Linked DNA regions of Arabidopsis thaliana. The main gene of each other region encodes a partner of the protein of the gene in region 2 in a complex. Each region holds a gene or a part of one and is shown on either strand. Other genes may lie near its edges. The genes, in order: AT2G02510 and AT1G76200. A codon is read from its position in the direction of its gene.

The links.
Region 1: the proteins of AT1G76200 (region 2) and AT2G02510 are in contact, whole or in part, in a cryo-EM structure (PDB 8BEH), measured with the Arabidopsis thaliana proteins. Residues at the interface, in NP_565128.1 of Arabidopsis thaliana: Ile10 (codon at 1,873), Thr11 (codon at 1,876), Tyr12 (codon at 1,879), Lys13 (codon at 1,882), Val15 (codon at 1,888), Val17 (codon at 1,894), His18 (codon at 1,897), Thr19 (codon at 1,900), Lys29 (codon at 1,930), Cys32 (codon at 1,939), Ala33 (codon at 1,942), Trp36 (codon at 1,951), Phe37 (codon at 2,270), Leu40 (codon at 2,279), Tyr41 (codon at 2,282), Lys44 (codon at 2,291); in NP_178355.1 of Arabidopsis thaliana: Glu17 (codon at 2,302), Trp18 (codon at 2,299), Lys20 (codon at 2,293), His21 (codon at 2,290), Pro22 (codon at 2,287), Met23 (codon at 2,284), Leu24 (codon at 2,281), Leu32 (codon at 2,257), Pro33 (codon at 2,254), Gly34 (codon at 2,251), Ile35 (codon at 2,248), Ile37 (codon at 2,242), Gly38 (codon at 2,239), Val39 (codon at 2,236), Ala41 (codon at 2,230), Phe42 (codon at 2,227), Tyr45 (codon at 2,218), Leu46 (codon at 2,215).

Annotation. Positions count from the first base shown.
Region 1 is NC_003071.7:671,430-675,687, reverse strand, and holds AT2G02510 (NADH dehydrogenase (ubiquinone)s), read right to left. Parts: upstream 2,429-4,258; 5' UTR 2,351-2,428; coding exon 2,132-2,350; 3' UTR 2,120-2,131; intron 1,190-2,119; 3' UTR 702-1,189; downstream 1-701. Other genes in the region: AT2G02515 (uncharacterized protein), read right to left, coding at 143-418; ISPD (Nucleotide-diphospho-sugar transferases superfamily protein), read left to right, coding at 2,564-2,672, 2,765-2,862, 3,019-3,090, 3,185-3,240, 3,444-3,523, 3,619-3,701, 3,818-3,895, 3,989-4,057 and 1 more. UniProt on the Arabidopsis thaliana protein: Accessory subunit of the mitochondrial membrane respiratory chain NADH dehydrogenase (Complex I), that is believed not to be involved in catalysis. Complex I functions in the transfer of electrons from NADH to the respiratory chain.
Region 2 is NC_003070.9:28,591,506-28,595,384, forward strand, and holds AT1G76200 (NADH dehydrogenase ubiquinone 1 beta subcomplex subunit), read left to right. Parts: upstream 1-1,705; 5' UTR 1,706-1,845; coding exon 1,846-1,952; intron 1,953-2,268; coding exon 2,269-2,314; intron 2,315-2,418; coding exon 2,419-2,475; intron 2,476-2,989; 3' UTR 2,990-3,245; downstream 3,246-3,879. Other genes in the region: AT1G76190 (SAUR-like auxin-responsive protein family), read left to right, coding at 720-1,091; AT1G76210 (DUF241 domain protein, putative (DUF241)), read right to left, coding at 3,697-3,879. UniProt on the Arabidopsis thaliana protein: Accessory subunit of the mitochondrial membrane respiratory chain NADH dehydrogenase (Complex I), that is believed not to be involved in catalysis. Complex I functions in the transfer of electrons from NADH to the respiratory chain.

The DNA.
Region 1 (4,258 bases), on a different chromosome or scaffold from region 2:
CCAAAATTCAACATAGAAATACTAAATGACATACTTTGTAACTTTTTTTATAGATTTATGATATAAAAAAAACACTAATACAAAACATATTTTATGTTGTTATGTATTATTTAAGCGATTAATATCATTTTTTGGAGACAGTCTAAGATGATGGTGGACATCCGGGATTTTGATAACCTGGAGGACAATAAGGTATAACTGGGAATTGTTGCACTGATATCATCGCGTCATGGTTCGGTGGAGGTGGAGGAAATGGTTCGGTTGGAATAACCGGTGGATTAAACGGTTTAGAATCGATTTGAAATTTTGGCTTTAGCGTAGGAGAAAAAGGTTCAATCCTAGCATGACCAAGACCAGATGCAAGAAGAAGCAAAGTAGCCACCATTGTTATTGCGGGGAGCTTCAGAATCATCTTCATATTTTGTTTTGTGTTTGCAAATGTCTAACCTAGATTTTTATTTATATTGTTGTGACAAAAATAGCATAAAGCAATATACTTATCTTTTTGTTGACTAGAATTATATGCTGTGACAAAAAAAAAGACAATTAATATCATAGATTTTGACTAGATTTCTGTCCAAAAAAAAAAGATTTTGACTAGATAATTTCATATAGAAAGAAAGTTATATGTAACTGAATAAATGTGGTGATTTGACTAATTTCATTGGCAAGATTTAATTTCTAATATGAAATAAATCATTAGGATTGATATGTAGTTATGTACCAATACAATTTAACCATACATGTGATGTAAGTAAAAGGATAAACAAACTGTACCGTGTAAATGCTTCATATAACAACCTTCATGCTTCATGCTTCATATGATATTGATTTTTGGTTTCAAACCACTCGAGTTTTTACATTCGTCTTAACCATAGCCAATAAGGAGGATCATTGACGTTGTTAAAAAGCCTTTGCTAATGATATCGCACAAAAACGACTGCTTGTATCACATAAGAGGCAATCTTTATTCTCCAGTGTCATCTTAGAAGAACTACTATTAAGCAAAGAAATCACATAACGAAACCATGTACTGGAAACTGTCATACAAGATTATAACATTCAACATAGAGATCAGAGTCTTTGTCTTTCATTCACAGCTTATTGAGACAATCCAAGAAACAAAAAAAACAGCAAATTGTGAATCCATCAGCTCTTTATCTGCCACGGTTTTCATCATCGAAACAATCTGCAACAACATGAGTAATTTCCTTTAGTATACAACCTTTTACAAAAAAAGATTCAGAGCCAAACACCAAAGAGGGTCTCATAGAAGAAAAGATACAAAAAATGACACCTATCTTTCAGATCATTAGTATTAAAGCAAAGAACCAACAAACACAGAAATCAGACAAAGCTAATGCTACACATTAATCATCACAGATACGTATAGACATTTTGAAATTGATCTGAAAGATAACAGATACTAATTAGCAATATGCTAATAATAGCTGGTAACTTTTAAGAGTGTACATAAAGATAATCACTGAAAGCCGTAACCATAAACATGTGACCGATCCAATCCCAATACTTCAGGATTCTAAAAGCCATAACCATTTGTTTTAGTCTCAAAAGTGTTTATTCAGCTTTGCTCTATACATTACCTCAAGGAATGGATTCATCTCAAACTAATACACACATTAGCCATTGACAATAAAGCTTCTAACATTGAATCACTGAAACTAGACAAAAACATGATCTAATCCCAAACCTTGATTCTAACCATATTCCTAGATTATATGCACAAATCTTACTCTATCTTCCACAAAACTTGACTTCAAATCTCATAACTATTTGTATTAGTCTCAAAGTGTTTATTCATCTTTGCTTGCAAGGAATGGATTCATCTCAGACTAATACACATTAGCCATTGACAATAAAGCTTCTAACTTTGAAATTTCAATCACTGAAATTAGACAAAAAACATGTACTTTGACTAATCCCAAAACTTGATTCTAACCATATGCAAAAATCTTACTCTATCTTCCTCAAACGTGACATTCTAAGAACTTTGCCAAAGTTTTTGTTTATCCAATCTTTCACAGAGAAGTCAAATCGATTTAGGATATAAACCTCCGAGAAGCAAAACAAATTCGAGAAGATTTGATTTTTATTTTACCTAATGATTCTCTCAGTGAGATGGAGCGGGTTGTTTCTGATGCGATGATTGAGAAGAAGGAGCCATGAGTTTGCTATAGATCTGTTCACCGACGAGGTAAACGCAGAAGGCACCAACACCGATTCCGATACCTGGAAGTGCGTGTCTCATTTGATTCGATAGCATCGGATGCTTCCTCCACTCATCCCTTCGCCGGAAAAATTCACCGGTTGTTCCCAACGGTTTCGCCATTTTCTCCGGTCTTCTTCGATTTTTACGTTTTTTTCTTTCTCTTTAGCTTTGTTGTGTTGTTTTACTGTATTGAATTATGGGCCTTATTAAAAGCCCATTAGTATTACTGAGTTTTTAATGGGCCTGATGGGCTTATTGTTTTTAGTTGGCCTTATATATATATTGGTTCTCCGAGGAACCGGAGCTTTCTTCTTCTCTCAGGCGAGATAAAACATGGCGATGCTTCAGACGAATCTTGGCTTCATTACTTCTCCGACATTTCTGTGTCCGAAGCTTAAAGTCAAATTGAACTCTTATCTGTGGTTTAGCTATCGTTCTCAAGGCAATTTCTCATACTCTTTATATACGTTCAAACCAATGAATCTCTGGTTCGGTGAGGAGATTTTTGATTGTTTCTGAATGTTGATTTTTCAGTTCAAAAACTGGATTTTTCGAAAAGGGTTAATAGAAGCTACAAAAGAGATGCTTTATTATTGTCAATCAAGTGTTCTTCATCGACTGGATTTGATAATGTAAGTGTTAGTTCAAAACTTGGAATCACTTAGTTTTGAAGCTTTATCTCTAGTTTAAGTTTTTTTTGTTTTTCAGAGCAATGCTGTGAATGTAAGTTTAAAGTTTTGAATCAACTCAAATTTTGAAGCTTTTTTTTTATCTCTAATGTTTTTCAGAGCAATGTTGTTGTGAAGGAGAAGAGTGTATCTGTGATTCTTTTAGCTGGAGGTCAAGGCAAGAGAATGAAAGTAAGTGTTTTTGGGATGAAAGTTTCAAACTTTATGCTCGAGTTTTAATTGTTTGTTCTGTTGAGTTGTTTGTTTTTCTATGTAATGTGAATAGATGAGTATGCCAAAGCAGTACATACCACTTCTTGGTCAGCCAATTGCTTTGTATAGGTAACATTTCTTACTTGAAAGTCAGTTGATTGGTTAAGTCTTGTATGTTGTTTGAATCTGTTTCTGATAACTAATTACAGTCTCGTTTGATTGATGGAAGAGTTGTAATTTGACTGTTTTTTCATTCTGCGGAATCTACTTGTCTATTAGTATTGAACCATCTTTGCTTTGTGTTCGTTGAATTTTATGTTTCATTGTTGCAGCTTTTTCACGTTTTCACGTATGCCTGAAGTGAAGGAAATTGTAGTTGTATGTGATCCTTTTTTCAGAGACATTTTTGAAGGTTTTTTAGTCTCTCTTTCTCTCATTAGTTATGTTTTTGGTTGAGAGATGTTCCAAAGATTTCTCTGAGCCTCTTTTTGTTTTGTGGTGTTCTAGAATACGAAGAATCAATTGATGTTGATCTTAGATTCGCTATTCCTGGCAAAGAAAGACAAGATTCTGTTTACAGTGGACTTCAGGTTTATACCTCCGTTGCTTTGATTAACATATCCAATGAATCATTTACTCAAAAGAAATAATTCTACAACATACTGTCTGTTCTAGTTCATATAAGCTTCAAGTTTATTTCTCATAGGAAATCGATGTGAACTCTGAGCTTGTTTGTATCCACGACTCTGCCCGACCATTGGTGAATACTGAAGATGTCGAGAAGGTATACTTATGAGAAGTAGCAAAAGATTAAGGAGAATGAAACAAAATTCTCGAAGTCCCTTTAGAATTTATTGCACTGTTGTATTTTGTTAAGGTCCTTAAAGATGGTTCCGCGGTTGGAGCAGCTGTACTTGGTGTTCCTGCTAAAGCTACAATCAAAGAGGTACAAAATCTTAAGTTAGTTTTTTTTTTTTTTGTCATCACCACATTCTCGATATTCGACTTGTTCCATTTTGCGATATGCAGGTCAATTCTGATTCGCTTGTGGTGAAAACTCTCGACAGAAAAACCCTATGGGAAATGCAGACACCACAGGTTTTAAAGTATACTCATGCTTTGTTGATTGATTTTTGGTTTCAAACCA
Region 2 (3,879 bases):
ATGTTACACTTAATATCATGATGAAGTGATTTAGATTTGTTGGCTGTAAAAAGTTTTTAAAAAATGATTTGCAGGATTTTCATGTGACGAGAAAAAGAAAAACAACGAACACTCATGAAAGTAGAAGAGAGAACTATAAAATGAAAAGTAGCAAGCAACTTGCTCGAAACGCTCACATGTTTCTATCATTACCTTTGCGCTCTGCAACTACTTTAGTATCTTGTTAAAGAAAAAGTGGTAATAGTTAGTATTATTTGTAATGTTATGGTCTGTCAATACACTAGCTTAGCTTGATTTGATTAACTTAATTTCCAAATAATGAGATACTGTCTACATGGTGATATAGCTTTGTCAAAGTTCATTAATGACAATGACAAAAACAAGTGTGTTAGTAACCAAGATAATTGCATTTAGTCGTAATTCATGTTTTGAAACGGAAATAATTAGAAAGATCGAAAATCTCTAGATATTTGTAGAAGGTCAGTACATAACTCCACGAGTGGTCGTGATCCAATTTGTGGACAAATTTGAAAAGCAACTAAAAACAATCAAATAAGCACGAACATCCTTTTCCCTCCACACACATCAAAATCCACAGTTTGGTCCATATATTGCTATATATATAGAGAAGCAGTTAGGCATTTAATTAAGGTTGCATACAGACAGATACATACGCAACGAAACTATCAAAGCCGAAGTAACACACACACAAAAATCATATGAAGAAACTAAATTCTAAAGGGATTAGACTCTCCGAATTGATGGAGAAATGGAGAAGAAGGAAGAAAGGGCACTTCGCTGTGTACACGAACGAAGGGAAGAGATTCGTTTTACCATTGGATTATCTGAATCATCCGATGTTACAGGTGCTATTGCAAATGGCTGAGGATGAGTTTGGGACTACCATTGATGGTCCTTTAAAAGTTCCTTGCGATGGAAGTTTAATGGATCACATCATCATGCTTGTGAGAAGGAGCATGTCCCATGATTATGATGATGTGGAGAAGTCTTCCACGAGCAGCACCTGCAAGGGAGCTTCAATCTCTTCTCTCTTTCGTGGACAGAGCCAGCTTCAGTCATTAGTTTCCTAACCATTTGGAGTAATTGTTAACTTTTTTTGGAGAAGGGTTGTTCTATTTTGTGTATACCAACATGATCTTGTAATAAATTAATTATTGTAATGTATCAATGATACAGTATCATCATTTGATTTTGAGTCTTTTTTTGACGGTTAAAACAACGATTTGGGACGAAGTTATAGGCCCTGAATGGATGCTGATTTTGGATTCAGTTTTTGAATTTAGATTTTAGTTTATAGATTTTAGATTTTAGTTTCAGATTTTTATTATTATATTTTTGTTTCAAAAACCCCAAAAAATTGGTTTTTGGTTTTTGAGAAAAATAACGTTGATTGAGTAAAAACTAGATTTCCTAAATTTTAGGAGAACTAAAAAACTAAAATCATGAATGGAAAACTACAAGAAAATAATTTTTCTAAATTGTAGGGAAACCAAAATTTTAAAATCTTGATTGGTATGAAAATAAGTTTTTGGAAAACAAAAACCAAAAACTCTTACAAAATCTACAAAACATTCAATTCATGTATCCAAACTTCTTAAAGGGCCCAAAAAGGAAGAAAACATTGTGAAAGAAACAGATATAGAAATGGGCCTTTGGTCTTTAAATTGGGCCTAAGCCTTTTAATTGAGGCCTTACTAAAAGTGACGACTCACATGGTTGAATCAAATCTCAGGTAGTAAATTGTCAAAGCTGAGGAGAAAGAAAGCTTTTTCGGTCTGAAATTGAAGTGCGAATCGGGGAATCTAGGGTTTCGAGAGAGAGATAATGGGTGGAGGAGGACATGGCGGAGGTATAACTTACAAGGGAGTCACTGTCCACACTCCCAAGACTTGGCACACCGTCACCGGAAAAGGCTTGTGCGCCGTTATGTGGTACATTTCTGATTTCTCTCTTTCACCTAATTCGCTTTTGATTTTGGGACCTAGCTAATCTCGATCGTAGCTAGATCTCGCCATGGGGATTTTGGGCTAATTGATCATCTGAGGAATTTTGTATATAGAATCCATTTGAATCAAAAAATTGGATTTGTCAAATTAGTATCGGAGCTAATCAGGTAGATGTTAATTTGAATCAGATATTGCTTATGTCAATTTCAGTTCGATGAGAATGGTTGAAGAAGTAATCGCACATAGGTTTTAACTTTCCCTAGCATTCACATCTTAAAAACTCAATTTTTGGTATTTTCAGGTTCTGGATTCTGTACAGGGCAAAGCAAGATGGTCCTGTAGTTATGGTAAAACTCTTTCATTTTTTATCTTTGTCTCGCTTTTGTAAATTTTATTGGTCCTAATATCTTTCGTGGTGGCTGAATCTGATCTTGCTATTGGCAATGGATAGGGATGGAGGCACCCTTGGGATGGTCATGGTGATCACGGTCACGGAGATCATCACTAGGTAATGTCTTTACTAGTAGTATTGTCGATGGAATCATTAAGAAAGATGATTAAAAAATCTCCTTTTTCGTAGTAAACACGCATTATTGTTTATACCGTATAGCAATTCCTCAATGAAGCTAATGTCTATGCATAATGTAGAGTAGCATTTCTAAGTTGTCACTTACTAACAAGATCTCTTGTTAACTGCTATCTAGTTGGTTTTGAAGAAAGATGATAGCTTTGATCTGGTTTTGGTTCATACAAGTGGTGAAAGTTTAGAGGATCTTTAACTTCTCTATAGGATGTTCTTGATTTATATCTACTAGAATGAATCATTGAAACTCTCGGGAGTGAATGAAAATTGAGTGCCTTTATTGTGAATGTTTGTTATTAGTTTAGTGGTACATGTTTTGAGTTTTCTCTTTGTTTAGACATTGATGATTTGTAGTTATCCTCGAGTTCACCTTTCATGTAACCATATAAGCATTGCTCAAACTACTTGACACTAATCTGGTTTTGGGTTTTGCTGCTAGGTCTCACTGAACCTTTGAAGATCATGACGAAAAAAGGATCGTCTCTTGTTTTTTTCTTAATTTTCAGCTTCATATGTCGAAATAAAGAGAACTGTGAAGAAGACGTGAATTGTTTTTGTACACAACTTTGTAAGACTTGCTGCTTCTGTTTTAAGTTACTACTTGTGTGTTGCACTTCCTGATCATGTTGTTATTTTGCTGTCAACAAATTAATTTGAAATAAAACGCATTGCGAGATTCGTGTTTTTAGATCCAGCCTCCAATGATACGAATTACAAAGAAACACTAGAAATTAGTTATATTCGCTGTGTTAAGTATACAAATTAACACTTACGAAACTGAATTTGTTAATGGTTTTTATAACTATATCTGAAAACCAAAAAAAATATGCAAAATCATCAAATTGAAAATGTCTATTCTAGCAACATGAATTGTGAATAAATAAACAAACATCTATAATTCAAATTTTACTTGAATAACAATTTCATTTTGACTCTATTTTTGGTGAAGACAAAAAGTGTGCCTTCAACTTCAAGTCTTTAATCCAAGTAGCCAGTTTAGGAAACGGGTAAAAAAATAAATTATATAGAATAAAAGAATTTGATGTTGCAAACTTGAAAATAAGTTTACAAATCAATCTATTTAATGTTAACTAAACATGTCCGCTTGAAGCAAAACCTAACCGATCCGGACATATCATATATTATCTAGTTGGTGAGAATATTAAGAAGTGAAACTCTCGTCTGAATCAATCGCCGGAAAATAGATTCCAACTCTATTTCAAGCTCCACTACAGTAATCTCCGCCGCCTCCAACCTCGTAGTCGCGCTTTGCACCGCAGTCTCGTCCCATTCATCATCTAACAAATAGGAAGACCGAATGGAAAAGAT